Linked DNA regions of Coturnix japonica. The protein of the gene in region 2 interacts with the protein of the main gene of each other region in a pairwise test. Links are inferred from orthologs where the notes say so. Each region holds a gene or a part of one and is shown on either strand. Other genes may lie near its edges.

Evidence for each region.
Region 1: the proteins of STAM2 (region 2) and PLEKHB2 interact in binary tests that used the Homo sapiens proteins (3 or more experiments, as listed by UniProt). The two-hybrid records come from large-scale screens. The link is inferred for Coturnix japonica from reciprocal best matches to the Homo sapiens genes STAM2 and PLEKHB2.
Region 3: the proteins of STAM2 (region 2) and ARRDC3 interact in binary tests that used the Homo sapiens proteins (3 or more experiments, as listed by UniProt). The two-hybrid records come from large-scale screens. The link is inferred for Coturnix japonica from reciprocal best matches to the Homo sapiens genes STAM2 and ARRDC3.
Region 4: the proteins of STAM2 (region 2) and RNF11 interact in binary tests that used the Homo sapiens proteins (3 or more experiments, as listed by UniProt). The link is inferred for Coturnix japonica from reciprocal best matches to the Homo sapiens genes STAM2 and RNF11.

Annotation. Positions count from the first base shown.
Region 1 is NC_029524.1:997,027-1,001,340, reverse strand, and holds the start of PLEKHB2 (pleckstrin homology domain-containing family B member 2), read right to left. Parts: upstream 2,840-4,314; 5' UTR 2,718-2,839; intron 2,606-2,717; exon of another isoform or gene 2,529-2,605; intron 842-2,528; 5' UTR 831-841; coding exon 794-830; intron 193-793; coding exon 40-192; intron 1-39. UniProt on the Homo sapiens protein: Involved in retrograde transport of recycling endosomes.
Region 2 is NC_029522.1:30,549,392-30,553,723, reverse strand, and holds the start of STAM2 (signal transducing adapter molecule 2), read right to left. Parts: upstream 2,814-4,332; 5' UTR 2,686-2,813; coding exon 2,646-2,685; intron 1-2,645.
Region 3 is NC_029547.1:52,953,676-52,957,236, forward strand, and holds part of ARRDC3 (arrestin domain-containing protein 3), read left to right. Parts: intron 1-535; coding exon 536-617; intron 618-2,877; coding exon 2,878-3,025; intron 3,026-3,561. UniProt on the Homo sapiens protein: Adapter protein that plays a role in regulating cell-surface expression of adrenergic receptors and probably also other G protein-coupled receptors.
Region 4 is NC_029523.1:21,408,070-21,412,163, forward strand, and holds the start of RNF11 (RING finger protein 11), read left to right. Parts: upstream 1-1,250; 5' UTR 1,251-1,716; coding exon 1,717-1,839; intron 1,840-4,094. UniProt on the Homo sapiens protein: Essential component of a ubiquitin-editing protein complex, comprising also TNFAIP3, ITCH and TAX1BP1, that ensures the transient nature of inflammatory signaling pathways. Promotes the association of TNFAIP3 to RIPK1 after TNF stimulation.

The DNA.
Region 1 (4,314 bases), on a different chromosome or scaffold from region 2:
TCTCAATGCACAAATTTCAAAGGTAACAGTGACTATTACCTCGACATTCGTTCCCCACTCTGAGGTTGATGCAATGGATTCGCATGTGGATTTTATCTTCTATATCATGGCGATTCTGATCGTCATAGAATATTAAACGGCCATCAGACCACAGGTCAAACCAGTTCTTCTTCCAGCGCCGCAAAATAGTGCCTTTAAAATCAAACAGTCGCTTATGAAGGCATATGTTAGAAGGTATTTGTGTCTTAAAGTTAATAAAACCAAGATATCTTTCCCAATTGCCCCAGAGGACAAAAGCATTCTCAGGCTCCAGGCAAGATCTTGTCCTACCACTGCTTTAGAACATTACAAAATTGGTTTCCCTATTTCATTTACTACTCCAAGTTGCAATGGAGTGTATTTTAAGGGCATAACCCAGTGCTTTAATTCTATCCCTCTGCAAGAAGAAGCAGAGGGCATGACTACCTGAAGACTTTAATGTAAGGTGTCAGGCAAAGTTTCCAAGTCTCCTCTTACATAACACTAATTACAGAGCAGCATCTGAAGCAGGACACTCAGACAGCTCAGATGTGACATATGCTGTTTCTCACTAGTACACCCAAAGGTAACACAGAAATGCTGTCATGATAGGTCCTTTTGTGAAATGCCTTACAGTCAAAAAGCAAGGACAACAACCCACAGATGCAGAGACCTGTTTAAGAAATAACACCTGGGAATGACTGAGATGCTGTAAAGCTTTTTGATGGAGTTAGACACAGTGGAGAGAAAAGGAGGTTAGAGCCCCATGACTTACTTTGCCGGAGCAGCCAGCCACTCTTCACAAATGCCATTGTTGCTTAATCTGGTGGACAGAAGAGGAAGGAGAGGAAGCAGACATCAGTATTTCACAGCACTACATTAGAAAGAGGCACGTCAAGTTAGAATGTCACAGTGCACTCCGCTTGTATTTCAGATAGAGAAGACAGATCTCACCTGAAGATCCTCACTAAGGCCCAACTAGTATCCCAGACCCTAGCAAGTGGAACAGGCATGTAATCTGATGTGACTGTCAGAGACACATCAGTTAAAAAGGGGAAAGCACAAGTTAACAAATGACACTGTTGCAAAATAGGGAAGAGACAGACCTGCGACCCTGACTCACTGCTGGCTGCTTTACAAATTGCTTCCTTGACACAGATGTGATCCCTCTATCCTGCAACACTCTCCCTCCCTTTTTCTGTGCTTCCCCTTCTATTTTTTTGTTTTTCATTCGTTGACTCAAAGTCCAGCCATAACAAAAGCTGAAAGAGTTTAACCTTGAACAGGAAGGAGAAAGCTGTTTTTATGACTTGTATGCCACCCAAATTGTCACCAGCTCCCTCCCAAATGAATTTTAAGTAAGTAAAAGTTGAGCCCGTAAAGTGACACTCTCATTTCTCCTCAGCTTTTAAATGAAGCTCAAAATGGCCTGGTTAAGAAGAAGAGGAAGCTTTTCACCCAGAGGGTGGCAACGCACTGGAACAGGTTGCCCAAGGAGGCTGTGGATGCCCCATCCCTGCAGGCATTCAAGGCCAGGCTGGATGTGGCTCTGGGCAGCCTGGGCTGCTGGTTGGTGACCCTGCACACAGCAGGGGGTTGAAATGAGCATTGTGGTCCTCTGCAACCCAGGCCATTCTGTGATTCTATGATTCTATGAAGAAAACCTCTCTCCTGGCAACCTGAAGATCACAGAGCATCCAACAAGCCAAGTCTCACATTGCAGGCCATCTCCCACTTAGGGCTCCAGAACCAAAGAGGCCTCTGTAGCTGTACTGCACCCTGTGTGCAATCTCAGATACGTGAACTGCGTTCTCCCTGCACAGAACCTCAGTGCCCCAAACTTCTGCTCCAAATAGATGGCAATGAGTGACACAGAGCAGTCTGTCTGCACCTAAATAGGAGGTGAAAGAACAATCTGATATCCTTGTCTGATCCTTTTTAAGTGCAAGCATGTACGTGGAGTCCACCACAGTGTTACAATCAGCCCACTCTGTGTCAAGAAGAGTGTTTCCAGAGCTAGAAGAGAGCTGTGGGAGATAAGCATCAGCTGCACAGTATCTGCTTGTGAAGCTCCGTGTGACCAGCACGGGAAGCGGGAATTAAACACAGATAAGTCAGGGCTTTGTATCACCCACCTCAGAAGTTTGCTGGTGGCTGAAGCCTAAAGGCAGAAACGCCCTTCATGGAGCACAAGAGCAAACACAGCAAAGGTGTGGGGGCCGCTCCCTGCTGCTCCTTTTCCTCCCTCACACAGAACACAGCATGGAATATCCCACCACTTATTCCAGTCGCCCTTTTGCTGGCTGACGGGAAAAGCCAGCTCCGGATCCAGCGAAGTGCAGCTCGCCATTGCTGCGGGTGCAGCCGTCACACTGCAGCGGAGGCGGATCGGCTGCCACCGCCATCCCGCAGCACCAGCTGCAGACACACCGCCTCACCCGACTGATGCTCCCGTTTAAAACCAAACAAGTCAGGAACTTCCCGACTCCGCACCCAACGCCCGTTCCTACCGAGAGCCGCGCGGCTCCGTTCAGCACCATCTCGGGGCCGGCCGGCGCTACGGGTTGGGCCGCACACCGCAGCCCCGCGCCCCTCGCCGGATAGTCCCGCCTCCCGCCGCGCACCCGGCAGCCTCAGGCCCCGCAGCTCCGCACGGCCGGGCCGGGACCCCGCACTCAGCGCCCCTCGGCCGTCCCTACCTGCCGCCTATGCCGATCCGCTCCCGCTGCGGCCCCGCTCCGCCGGCGGGCAGTGCCAGCCCCGCCCTGACGTCAGCCCGCCGCGCCGCCCCGGCTGGGCCGCGACACACGGCTGCACGGACGCGGCCTGGCCGGGGGGTGGGTGAGCTGGCAGGGCCCGGGTCCGTTGCCATGCCCAGGTCCGTTGCCATGCCCAGGTCCGTTCCCGTGCCCGTTGCTATGCCCCATCGAGCTCATTCTTTGTCATAACACAGCCTTGTTCATCTCTCCAACACACGTTCAGTTTTGAGTGCCCACAACATACCGGCTTGAATCTCTGCAGTGTTCACGCATCCTCGTTAAAGGTGAACAAATGCAGGCACGGCTTGTGCCTCTTGTCTTCACAGCTCTCATTTCCATGGTGTACTGTGTTTTGCTAATGGTGATGTGAGCAACAATCTGCTGTGCTGACATAAGAATTAGCAATTTTGGAGCAGTTCAACAACTTACATACCTCTTATCTTAGGAAAACCTATGGGGCTGAGGCTTCAGAGCTGAGAAAAGTCTAACTTGCTTTTGAAAATAAGACTTGTTCTTAAGCAGGACAGTGCCTCTCTGGCACACTGCTGGGGAGAATGAGAGGCCTGCTCACCTGTGTGACCTACAAATGAAGCCATATGTCCTCTCACCCTCAGACCTGTGGTTGTGGCTCAGTACAATGAGCTCTTTAGGCACTTGATCCAGAGGAAACAGTAGGGAGAGTTGTAAATGCGTCCAAATGAGATGCTGTCAGCAGCTTCATGGTGTGAGGCCATTGCAGCCCTGCAGGCAGCAGGCTGCTGAGCACTCTGGGAGCAGCAGACAAACAAAAGTCCAGCCAGAAGCTGAGGAATTTTCTGGGTGAACCCCTGGGATGTCATTGTCAGCTTCTGTTGTTTCGATCTGATCAAAAACAAACAGAAAGGGGAAAGCCTGTGTGCAGTCAGCCAGCCCTGCAGGCCACAGCACCAGAAGGCCGTTCCACTGTCAGTGACACAGCCTGTTTGGCAGCAACGGGGCTTGGGATTTCATTTTTATTTGTCGGCAGTTTTGAAAAGCAGATGATTGTCAGGGGTGGGACGAGGCCTTTGTGACATGCAGACAAGCTCCTGCAGAGAAAACAACTTGTGCCAGTTTGTTCTACCACACTTTGTGCCACTAATGACTGTTTGGGCCTGGCAGCATCAATGAGAAGTCTCCTCTGAAGTACCTGAGCTCTGACTCCCACCTTCACATGGCACTGACTGCACCGTTATATTAGCACCTAAAGACAGTGCTAAGGGAGAAGATTTACACTAAAGCTCTCAGTCTGCAGGAAGATATCTTGAAGGAAGAGGGAGAGGTTGTGAGAGCACGCCATGCAAGGCCCAGCTTGCTCAGTGGAGATCATCCTGTCTTCTGAAGGTGTTGCATGAGGCCCTACACTGTTTTACCTTCTCTCCCAGGAGTCAGAGCACGTTGTCACAAACTATTAGTGGCTGTTTCTCGGGAGCCATTGTGGTATGTAATAACTGCACTGAAATGCGTAGGAAGCGCTCGTGCTTGACTGCTGCTTTTAATAGCAGCAAACGCCAATAGA
Region 2 (4,332 bases):
GGCTGACAATGGGGGAAAACAGCGAGTGTGTGTGAACTAATGATGAATAGATTTAGATAGGAAATTAAAATGTTCCAAACCCTTTAAAGAACTCAAGTCTCGTGGCACTCTCTCTACCAAAATAATAAGAATTTAAAAAAAAAAACACCACTTCTCTCTACCGAAATAATAAGAATCTTTAAAAAACCCACAGGTGAGAGAAATGGAACTCCTGAAACTATCCCATAGGTTCATCTCATGGAACTGCAACTATAGACAATGCAACCAAAGCAAATGCTGAGGAAGTAAGACCCTATGCAGATCTACTGCAAAGCAAACACAAGTTCAGAACTAAGAAAACAACAGCTGCAGCTGTGTTTATCTATAATTTCTAAAGGCCCCCTCCCAAGAAAGCTGCAATACCGAAGGCATGGCCTGAACAGATATCCAAACCAACCCAATTTCTTGCTGCCAGCAGAAGTAGGGCTTCAACCTTCCCAGGGAGCCCTGCCCCTCACTGCCACTTTGCAGCCTCTGATGAGCTGATCCGAGCCTCCAAACTCCATCGCCTTCACAGATGATCCCAACTGTCAGCCAAGCACTCCACTGCAATCTGTTTTCTGCTGAAGAGAATGCACTGAATCAGCCCAGAGAGCAACCCACAGCACCTGAGTGGACAAGAAGATGGAAGAGCTCTCCTTCCCAGTAGCATCAGGACATCAGCAGAGCTCGACTGCCCTCGTGGTACGCACCTTTATTATTTATAAATCAAAAAGATGAATGAGAAAATAAAACCTCGAATCACAAAGTTAAAGCTCGACAGCAGCATGAGCAGCCTGAGGTGAGTACCACCAGGGAAAGTACAGAACAACAGTGTTCAGTTATTTGCTGCTCCGTGTTGTCTGATTTACTAAGTAATAATAGCTGAAAGAAAAAAAAGCTCCTAGTGGCACAAAAGTAGATTCTTCCTAGCAAGGCACTGCGAGATTTAGCCTCAATAACTATGAAATTCCCAGCCCACTGCTCTTGTTTCATAGCAGCATGTGTGAGCAGTTCTACTCGCTATGTATAATACAGAGTTTAAGAAACTAGAGGCACACTGACCATCACTTTGCAGCCCTATGCTTTTAGAGCTGTTGCAGCTTTTCAGTTTTGACAAAGGATTTTGTACAGCCGTGAGTCCCCAGTTCAAGAAGTCTTCACTTGTGCAAATACATCAGAGCTATGAGAAAGGTACAGAACACACACAAGTTCTTTGAAACAAGTACAGCTGGCCTAAGCGGCTGCTACTTCATTTTAGCCACAGGTCAACATCAAAGAGAACTGAAGGCAAAGCCTTCAATAAACAAACTTTGAAGGCACACGAAGATAACAGTGAAACCTCAGAGTTGGAAGGGACCTCTGAGGGCCATCTAGTCCAGCTCCCTCGCAACCAACAGGGGCACCAAGCTAAGTCAGATTGCCCAGGGTCTGATTGAGCCTTACCTTGACAGTCTCCAGGGATGGGGCATCAACCACACCACTGTTCCAGTACCTCACTAACCTCACTGTAAAAGGCTTTTATCTAACCTAAATCTACCCTTTTCAAGCTCAGTGCCATTTCCCCTTGTTCTGTCACCACAGACCCTGCTAAAGAGTCCATCCCCTTCCTTCCTGTAGCTCCCCTGTAGACACTGAGAGGCCACTATTATCAGGTCACCTCGGAGCCTTGTCTTCTCCAGGCTGCACAGCCCCAGCTCTCTGATCCTGTCCTCATAGGAGAAGTGTTCCATTCCATCCTGTGGACTGTTTTTGTAGCCCTCCTCTGGACACTCTCCAGCAGCTCCATGTCCCTCCTGTACCGAGAGCTCCACATCTGGACGCAGCACTCCAGGTGAAACCTCACCAGCACAGAGCAGAGGAGCAGGACTTACACTCACCACAAGGAACTGGGGTGTTAACGTGAGCACTGACAGCCACCACTTCTTCCTGCCAGTGGCCAGAATCCTGCTCTAGGGAACCTGCAATGAGCTCTGGGGAACCAGCTCTCAGGGGACTGGGCTGGAGGAGCTCCAAGATCCCTTCCAACTCCTCTGGTTCCACGATTCGGCAATGACAAAACTCTTCTCGTACCTAAAGCCCTGGGAAATCACAGAATGACCCGGGTTTGAAGGGACCTCAAGGATCATGTAGTTCCAACCCCCCTGCCTGGCAGGGCCACCTTTACTAGATCATGTTGCCCAGGGCCCCGTCCAACCTGGTCTTGAACACCTCCAAGGACGGGGGAAATTTTAATTGCTTTTGCTGTGTTGCAGCTCAGCAGCGGGCCTTTAAAGAACAAAAAGCCAACAACAAGACACGGCACAAGCTGGATGTCCCCGAGGGCAGCGCTGGATCACGACCCGACCCGGACCAGCCCGGCTGAGTCACGGCCGCACCAGCCCCCGGTTTTGCAATGGAACGGAGCGGCGGCTCGGGCCGAAGTGGGGCTGTGTCCATTCTTACACCCGGTGGGCGCTATCCCGCCGCCGGCACCACCAAGGCCGATCTTGGCCTCCACAATCCCAGCCCGACCCGCCGACCCGAGATACGGCCGGGCATCGCCGCCGCTCACCCCTCACAGGCCCAACGCTGCACCGAGCCCAGCCGCGTCCCGCCGAGCTCCGCACCGCTCCCCGCTCACTCACCCACGTCCTGCTCGAAGGGGTTGGACGCGAACAGCGGCATCTCCACGGCGGCCGCCCGGCCCCGCTCCGGCCCCTCACACCGGGCCCCAAAGCCGAATGCGGCGGGGAGAATCAGGCACCGGCCGGGGCAGCCCGGGGACCTCGCGGGGTTTGGGCGGGCCCCGCACCTCGGCGCCTCGGCCACGGCCCTTCGTCACGGCTGGGAGGAGCCATGTTGAGGCGGGACGGGAGGAGAGAGGGGTGTGTGTGATGTTCACTTCTCATCCCCCTGTAACTGGGTTGTCGAAAGGGCTGACAATAGCAGGACACGGGGAGATGGTTTTAAGTTAAAAGAGGGAAGATTTAGGTTGGATGTTAGGGGGAAGTTCTTCACTAGGAGAGTGGTTAGGAACTGGAACAGGCTGCACAGGGAGGTTGTGGATGCCCCGTCCTTGGAGGTGTTCAAGGCCAGGTTGGACGGGGCCATGGGCACAACCTGATCTATGGGGTCTCTATGGGGATCTATGGGGTCTATGGAGTCTCTATGGGATCTATGGGGTCTATGGGGTCTCTATGGGATCTATGGGGTCTCCTGGGCAACCTGATCTAGTAAAGGTGTATGTTTGGTGGCCCTGCCAGGCAGGGGGGTTGGAACTACATGATCCCTGAGGTCCCTTCCAACCCGGCTCATTCTGTGATTCTGTGAATACTTTCAAGGACTTCTGGATTGTATATGAGAAATGGAGTCTAACTTGAAGCACACACGGACGTTTCTTGACAAATGAAGGCAGTTTGCGTTTATTTCTAACCACATCGGGCTAATTATCAAATGCCCTCTAGCTTTGCTGGCTCTGTGGCTGCCTCTATAGCAGCTTAATGACTCACGGGCTGCGGTGTGGGACGGAGCTCCCGTTGTGCTGGTGGCTGTGTTGGAGCAGTCTGCAGGTGGCACCGCTCTCCCACTTTGGAGGATTTTGATGACAAAACGGAGTGTTTTTCCTTCGACCTTAAATTTACGAATTCAGTCGAAACTGATGATTTCACGTAGTGAATCAAGCGGAGTCAAAACGTCATTAATTTGTTTGATTGCCTTAAAAAGACAGGACGAATCAATTGGTGGTTAGGCCCTGGAACAGGCTGCCCAGGGAGGTTGTGGATGCCCCGTCCTTGGAGGTGTTCAAGACCAGTTTGGATGGGGCCCTGGGCAACCTGATCTATGGGGTCTCTATGGGGTCTATGGGGTCTCTATGGGGTCTATGGGGTCTATGGGGTCTATGGGGTCTCTATGGGGTCTATGGGGTCTCCTGGGCAACCTGATCTAGTAAATGTGTATATTTGGTGGCCCTGTCAGGCAGGGGGGTTGGAACTACATGATCCTTGAGGTCCCTTCCAACCCGCGTCATTCTGTGATTTTGTGATCTGTAAAGAAATGCAATAAACACTAATGTCGACTGGCTGAAATAGAAAAATGTAATGAGTTCTATAGAAGACAATGAGTTCTCATTTGTATTAACTTCAGCTCTGTTCTTCTCCACAGAGAAGACTGCGTGTGGTGCAGTTATCGCAGCAGCTGCCCAGGCAAGTAAATGGCTATTTTGTCACTTCTTACCATCCTGCAATGTTGTTACGGTCACCTTGGTATTGCATAGGATGAATCAGCTCCTAAACATTTGCTTCGCTTTTTACCTGGCTGCGGTGGGGCACCATA
Region 3 (3,561 bases), on a different chromosome or scaffold from region 2:
TCGGCTTGTTCCCCTCCATCCCTCCGTGCACATTATTTGGCCATCTCTTTTTTTGTGATTTATTTCTGAATGCTGGTGCAAAGCAGTATTTTTTTTTCCCATTTAAAGAAAAAAAAAAACAACAAAAAACTGAATTACTAAATGTATTTTACATACCAGAGTTAGTTCTGAGTGTGAGGTAGCCTAGTGTTATTAAAGCTACCTCTATTTCATCTTAAGTTTTAAACAAGAATCATTGTGGAAAAGCAGATTGGTTTACACCACCGATCTTTCTGGCAGGTCTTGGAATGGCAGCGGTGACAGCTGTGACAATGTTGAGAAGTGGGATTATGAATTAAAGCAGATTTCTGCTTCCAATTGAACCTGGGAGATTATGCACACCTTGAGTTTAGTAACTGTAGTTCCTGGGACGCTGTGTAAAGCACTATGATGAGATTGCAGATTCCTTTTATTTTGCAATTGATGCCTATGTGATATATTTTGCTATATGAAATGAGTGCTAGTGGAATAGCATTTTGGGTTTTTTGCCTCCTAGATGATGACAACTCTGAGGAAGGCCTTCACACGATCCCTTCAGGAAGGCACGAATATGCATTCAGCTTTGAGCTTCCACAGACGTAAGTTCCTAGTTATACCATGCTGCTGGGGCAGTGCGATGCCTGCAGACACGCCTGCTTCGGGTGGAGGGGAAACCTTTTCAATGGTGGCAGGAATTGTGCTGCAGCATGCTGCAGAGGACATCATCTCCTTCATCTGAAGAGGTTGCTTTCAAACCCCACAAAATGGGAGCACATTGTTGCCTGGTGGCTCACTCACTCTTGACCTAGCTGGTACTGACTGGCTATGTCTTCTGATATTTTAACCCCTTCCAAGAGGAGTGAAGTTTAACTGGCTTGAGTCCTGTGGAGTGGCTGAGATGCCTTCTAATGTAACCAGTAGAGCCTTGTGGACCAGCAAAACTGGCCATAAGACGCCATCTTGCTTATTTAGGCTTAGTCTGGAACAGAAGTGACTATTTTAACTAACAATGAAAGAGGAGATTGTTCCAGATTAAATGGGATGTGTCTTCTCAAGCTGGCCTCTGTATGAAAAGGCTGGATGGCAATAAGCAGATAAATGAGTGGATGAACTGAGAAACATTCCCATCCTTCATCACATTTGTTTCAGAAAGCAGAAGTGAGAGGCAGAGCTAAACTACAAGCTCCAATAATACAAAATGCGTAGGGATAGCAACAGTCTGAAAACAGATGAGAAATGGGAGAGGAAGGAGACTTCCTTATGGAATTCAGGCAGTGAAGCTGTTACAGTTGGATAAATTTGGCAGACACTGTTGCGTGAAATAGTTAAGTGCCTAATACTAAAGCTGGCAAACCATCTGTTTATTAGAGGTGCTGGCTATAATAGAACCTGCAGGTCATAACCACCTCATGGGTCAGTATAAGAAGTGAGCAGTGTAGAACTTGAACGTACATAGTTGCTGGAGTGCTGAAAAAGACCCATGTATGGAGATCATCAGAGACAATTTGCCATTATGTGAAAATCTCTACTACAAAAAGTAAAAATAGTAGTCTTCATCTTCCCTTGATTTGGAAGGGTTGAAAAAGCAAGATAGTAGATCACTGTGAAATATTTAGTATTAAATTGAAGTACCACAACCAGTGGTTAGAACACAGTGTTTATAAGTAACTTGAAAAAATAGTTGTGCAATCAGCTTCTGATAACGCTGAAGAAAAACAAGGACGACTGGTGTTAAAGCCTAAAGACCTGGAGGCACCTATTTACCATTTCTTGTGATTTCCTATCAGTGGGATTTTTCCAAAGTTAATTAAAAAAAAAATCCAGAGCAACAGTAAAAAGGAGAACACTGAGGGGCTTGTTTTGTTTTGTTTCTTTTTTGCCCTTCAGGGTACAAGACAGGATCTACGACTGAATATAGACTAGATATGTTTCAGAAATGTAAACAGATGTCGTACCTATTACTGACAAAGAATCATTTAAGTAAAGTACTAGAATGGCTAGGAGTGTTCCCAGTAGGAATTACAGAAGGTTTGCACATCATTTTGAGTAAACAGATTAAATTACAAAAATTCTTAGATTTTTTTTTTTTAAAAAAAGGAAATTTACTGTTACTTAGAGATAAAGGGAGTTCTGTGACTTAAAAGCAAAGGTGAAAAGTTTCGAGATTCTTCCACAGTTTTCCTCCAGGTCTCTTGAAAGGATTTCATTAGTCTCTGAAACATTCAGAGTGGAATAGTCCTGATAACTCTGCATGCGTGTTCATATGATACGTAAACACATGCATGTATTTTGCATAAACTTTATAAACTGCTCTCACTGGAGTAGATGAGAACTGGAAGGTACTTCCGATAACCCTTCTCTATTCAGAACTGTCATTTGAATTATTTACTTAAAATTACACGAACTACTGTGTTCAGTAACTGCTAAAAGAAGACACTTAGCAGCCAAGCAAACAATAAACAATTACTTCAAAAATACAGTATTCAAACCAGTTGGTACTGTTGCTAATTTTAAGTTGGTAGTCTTAATGCAGCCGTAAAAGGGCATGGTGGATGTGAAAGCAGCCTCTTGAGTTTAAAGGAAATGTGAACTCTCCTGGCATTTTCTAGTACAATTCTTACATTGATTCTTAAAATCTATACAAAACTAAATTAGGGTGAATTGGAGATGATTTTTTCTCCCATCTTTAATCTTGAATTTTGCTCAGATATGGAAACTTTGCAAATAAGTTACGCTTAGTTAAATACTACAGTGCATTAAAAATAGAATTCTACATACTAATCCCTAATCTGATTATATCATTATTATAAAGAGTGAGAAAGAGATTTTACTCAGTTTTGACCTTTGTGTCCTGCACAGACCACTTGCTACCTCATTCGAAGGCAGACATGGCAGTGTGCGCTATTGGGTGAAAGCCGAATTGCATAGGCCTTGGCTTCTACCAGTAAAATTAAAGAAGGAATTTACAGTCTTTGAACATATAGATATCAACACTCCTTCATTACTGGTAAGAATTGACAGAATTACTCATTCTTTTTTTCTGACATAAAAATAAGTAAAATACAGGAAAGAATATCAACATTGGATTTTATCTAGTATCTATTTACTAGTTTTTAACAGCAGCTGATCTTTTAAGTATTCTATCAGTTTGGCAACTCTTCAATTACTTGTTTTGCTGTTATCCTGTACCTGGAGTTGCTTCATTTTTAAGATATGTAAGATACCTTTGTCAATTTAATACTGCTAAATTTTAATTTCTCTATAAAAAGGAAATTTTTGTGAACTGTTCCTCTTCAATTTTGAATTATCTGTGGAAGGAACAGTGCAACTTCAAAGAACGTTTTAATGAGAGACTGCTAACTTAAAAATGCAAAGTGAAATAATGTACTGGCGTGCGTAATTTCCAAATGGATGGTTTTCTACCAATGGGGAGAAATTATCACAATTCTATATATGATCTTTTTCAGAAATGTCATTTTTATTAAAATCTTAGTGTTGCAACCGCTTTCAGTAAGGAGCTGATTTCAATCTGGCTTAAGATTT
Region 4 (4,094 bases), on a different chromosome or scaffold from region 2:
CCATGATGCTGTGGGACTGATGGACATAGTCAGTGGGCATGGGGGGAACGGGTTGGGGTTGGACTTGTGGAAGGGGTCTTTTCCAGTCTGAATGATTTTATGATAAAATGAGAAATGGTGGTAGAATAAAGATATTCTTCTCATTACCTGTTATCTTGTCAGTGATGCCACCACTGCACAGCTGAACGTCCTCTAGCTGCGCCTTAACCCACCACAGGATCCTGCAGAAGCAGCTCTGACATTGCTCTCACCTTGAAGCTACTCTTAAGAGAGGCAGTGACTCCTCTCCAACCACTGCTTACCTTCTTAATTCTCCTATTAACCGAGTCAACATATTCCTGCGATAAACATTCACACCCTGTACAGTATTCATTGTGAGTTACAGCACACTATTACAAAGTGTTTCCATCACAAGCAACACTCACAACTCAGGCACTACTTCTAGCTTCTTAGGAAAACCTTTTCCAAGCCCTGTAAACGCCAACAATATCTTCTCTGTTGCTATAGATTTCATACTGAAAGTGCTTAAGTCACCCAATAACCAGCAGCAAAACAAAACTCTCAAACAATAATAAAAGGAAATCCTCAAGGAGGAACTCACGTGGATAACAAGCAGCAGCACAGCTCCCCACCTTCCAAGCACTAAAGGGCCTCTCAAAGGTCTGAACAGAGATGGAAGAGCCAAGTACCAGCAGCTGGCTTAAAGAACTCAGATGGGAGCCTGACACAGATCAGCTGAGACACCCTTGATTAAAGCCGGCCATGCTTTATTGCTTCAGGACCTAATTTCTAGTTGCTGTCACCTGTGTTGAATTTGCTTCAGATCAATATTCAGTGGCCTGAACCTGATGGGCAAGAAGGCACTATGAGGATCTGAGCTGGAGGAAACCCTTAAATGTGCCTTAAGAAACATGTTTCCTTCATGCTGCGTTGGTGTGGTTATGTTAGAAGGGTGCCGACTTCGCACTGTGCATACAACTGTATTTCACTTTAAAAGTTTATCTTCTCAATTGAGAGGCTGCACACACCGTTACATCAATCACGTATTGCTGTAGCTCTCATCACCTCCAAGGCCGCCTCCGCACACAAAGAGCAGCACGGCCCGGCCCTCTGCCCTTAGCGGCTGCCGGGGCCCAGCGCGGGGCAGGAACTTCGGCCTCCGGCACAGCTCCGCCCCGAGCTCAGACGCCGGGTCCGTCCCGCACACCGACAGCTGCGGGGCGGAGCGAAGCGCCGCTCGCTGTGGGGCCGGAGGCGGCCGGCCTGGCCTCATTGCGCCGGGGCGGGCACAGCTCCCCGGCCGCCGAGCGCGGTGCCGCCGGGCCCTACGTGCGCGATCCCGGCGGGGCGGAGTGAGAGGAGGAGCCGGGGCGGCCTGTGCGACAAAGCCCAGTGCGCAGAAAGCTGGTGACCAGGAAGCGGAACGGCACCGGGCTGCCGCGGGGCGGGGGGCGGGCGGACCCCACCTGAGCCCCGCTGCCCCAGCGCTCCCGGGCGGGAGCCGAGCCCTGCGGCCCCACGGCTCGGGGCCAAGTGCGGCCGGCGCTGCGGGGCGGCCGTGCTGCCGCTAAGCCGCTTAGGGCCGGGCTGGCATGAGCCTCCCCGGCGGGGCGGCTGCGGGCTGCGCGCTGCGGGGCGGCTGAGGGTGCGGAGCCGTCCGTCGTAAGGAGGGGGAGAAAGCGGAGGGGACGCCCCTGCTCCCCGGGGGGAAGGAAAATGGGGAACTGCCTCAAGTCCCCCACATCAGATGACATCTCGCTGCTCCACGAGTCCCAGTCGGACCGGGCCAGCTACGGGGACGGGGCTGAGCCGGATCAGGAGCCGCCGCCGCCATATCAGGTACGGGAGGGGGCGGGGAGCGGCGCGGCGGAGCCGGTGGGGACGGGGACGGACGGAGAGGGGCACGGGACGGGGGGGCGGGTTGAAGCCCCGAGGACCCCCCGGGGCGCTGCACAGCGTCCGTCCCCGCGGGCACCGAACGGCGGGTCCCGGCCGTGAAGTGAGGAGCGCCGCTTTGTTCCCCGGGGGGTCGCCGAGCTGTCGCGGGGCCGCACGGACCGTTCGGGACACGAAGCCGGAGACGGCGGAGGGGGGTCGGGGCCCGCCCAGGGGTCGGAGCCGCCTCGATCGTGTCTGGATTTGGGCTGAAAGCAGGAGGGGAAGGCGTCGAGTTTCCAGCCGTGCCGCTTCCTTTGTTGTCGTCGCGCGGTGACATCACTGTCTGTGCCGCTCTCGGTGCTCCCCGCACCGGAGGCCGCGCGCTCGGCGCTGCCCGGCTTTGTCTGCGGCGCTTCGGCAGCAGCTGAACCGGAGTAACTTCGTGCTGCGGGGTGAGCCCGTTTCTTTCAGCTCCGTGCGGTTCCAGGAAGGGCCGTTCGCTCTCCTGCCTGGAGAGGATGTGTACATTGACGGCTGATGACGAGCTGGGGAAGAACGCCGGGTGCTCCGTCACGTCCTCACAGCTGTGGGGTCCCGGCACAGCTCTGTGCTGTGATGGCCACCAAAAGGACCCAGGGCTGCATTTATCCCCTGCTTCATCTCCATCTCCTAAGGAAGGATTGTACGTGGCTCTGAGCAGGACACGAGCCCTGTCTGAAGGGATCTGTAACAGTGACAGGTACAGATGAGTCCTGCGCTCCTTAGGGTGGGGAGTCACGCAGGAGTTGCAGACCTTAACGTATTATTAACAAGGCTGCAGGAAGTATTTAGCAGGGCAGATATTAACCTGTGATACTCGACGAACACCGGCTGTGACAGGAGGTCCCTGGGTTGCTCCATGGGCACAGCAACCCTTGGTGGAACCATGCTGGGACCACTGGGCCCTGCAGAGCTGCTCGCTTTATGTGACTGCTTCATGACAGAACAAATTCCCTAAGATGGGTTGGGTTTTTTTCCCTGACTTTTTAGTAAAGTCTGCACAAGTCCATTAAATAAAGATGTGTGGTGTCAGGTTTTTTTGACAGGCGATGTTCTGAGCCAATCCTGCTTGTCCCTCCTGTTTGGGAACGCAATGAAAATTGTCCCTTGGAAAAAAACCTGTCGGCTCTTGCAGGAGTTGAGAAATTGCACTGTGCAGGCCTTCTCCTGTCGACTTCAGAGCACAGCAGACAGTAAAATAAGCAAACTCGCAGACATTTGTTACTGTGTGCATTCATAGCAAAACTCCCCCAAACCCCACGCGCTGATCCCAGCAGATCTCAAACACTCACTGTAAGGGGCATCTTGTGTTGCATAGTCAACATTCAAAGATACTCGCTCCACAAATAAAGAAACACAGTGCTTTGTGATGACAAAAGACCTTCACCTTCATACTTTGCAGTATTCCACACGCTTTGAGGTTGAGGGGGGTTGTAACTTCAAATTGTTTTGGGGTGAAAAGGTGTGCAAGCCGAGCGCTGAACCTGGGGAACTCCTGGAGCTCCATTATTGCTGTAGTGGCAGCAGGATGTTGTGATCTTATCCTCTTCCTTGCCTGCCTTCCTCCGCAGGTCTGCATGTTCTCTTACACACTTTAATTCTCATTCAAACATTGTAGAAAGTATCACCTATAAGGACAAGAATCCCACATGCCCATTTCTAACACTGAATCTGAGCTATGATCTGGAATTTAAAATAAGGCCAAGAGTTTAAAAACTTGTTTGTGGCACCTACTGCTGCGCACGAGGAGCTGTGGACGATTAACAACTTAAAACTGAGCTGCTGGAGCCTCAGCCATAAAATGGCTGCATTTGGGTTTGCTTCCTTTGGGTTTGCAGCAACGATGTGCAAACTTCCTGAGCCGCTCTCTCAAGGTGTGCTAACAAGCAGAGCGAAGGAAGCTTGCTGGGGTAGGTGCAGCGTTGTAGACAGGACTTGTGTGTCTCTTTGAGCTAAAGTCTGTGCTATCTTGATACTCAAAACATTTTCTGTGTCTTGGCACGCTTGTTTTGTGGGTGTCCATATGGGAATCGAGTTAAGCAATAATTTTTTAAGGTGTTCACTTCTAACTGCAAAATAGGCACCTAATAATCTCTTCACTGTTGCATGCCAAACTCCTTTTCATCACTGAGTGCTACTGAATCTGCTGTATAAAATTCCTGCTTCTAAAAGTTGAA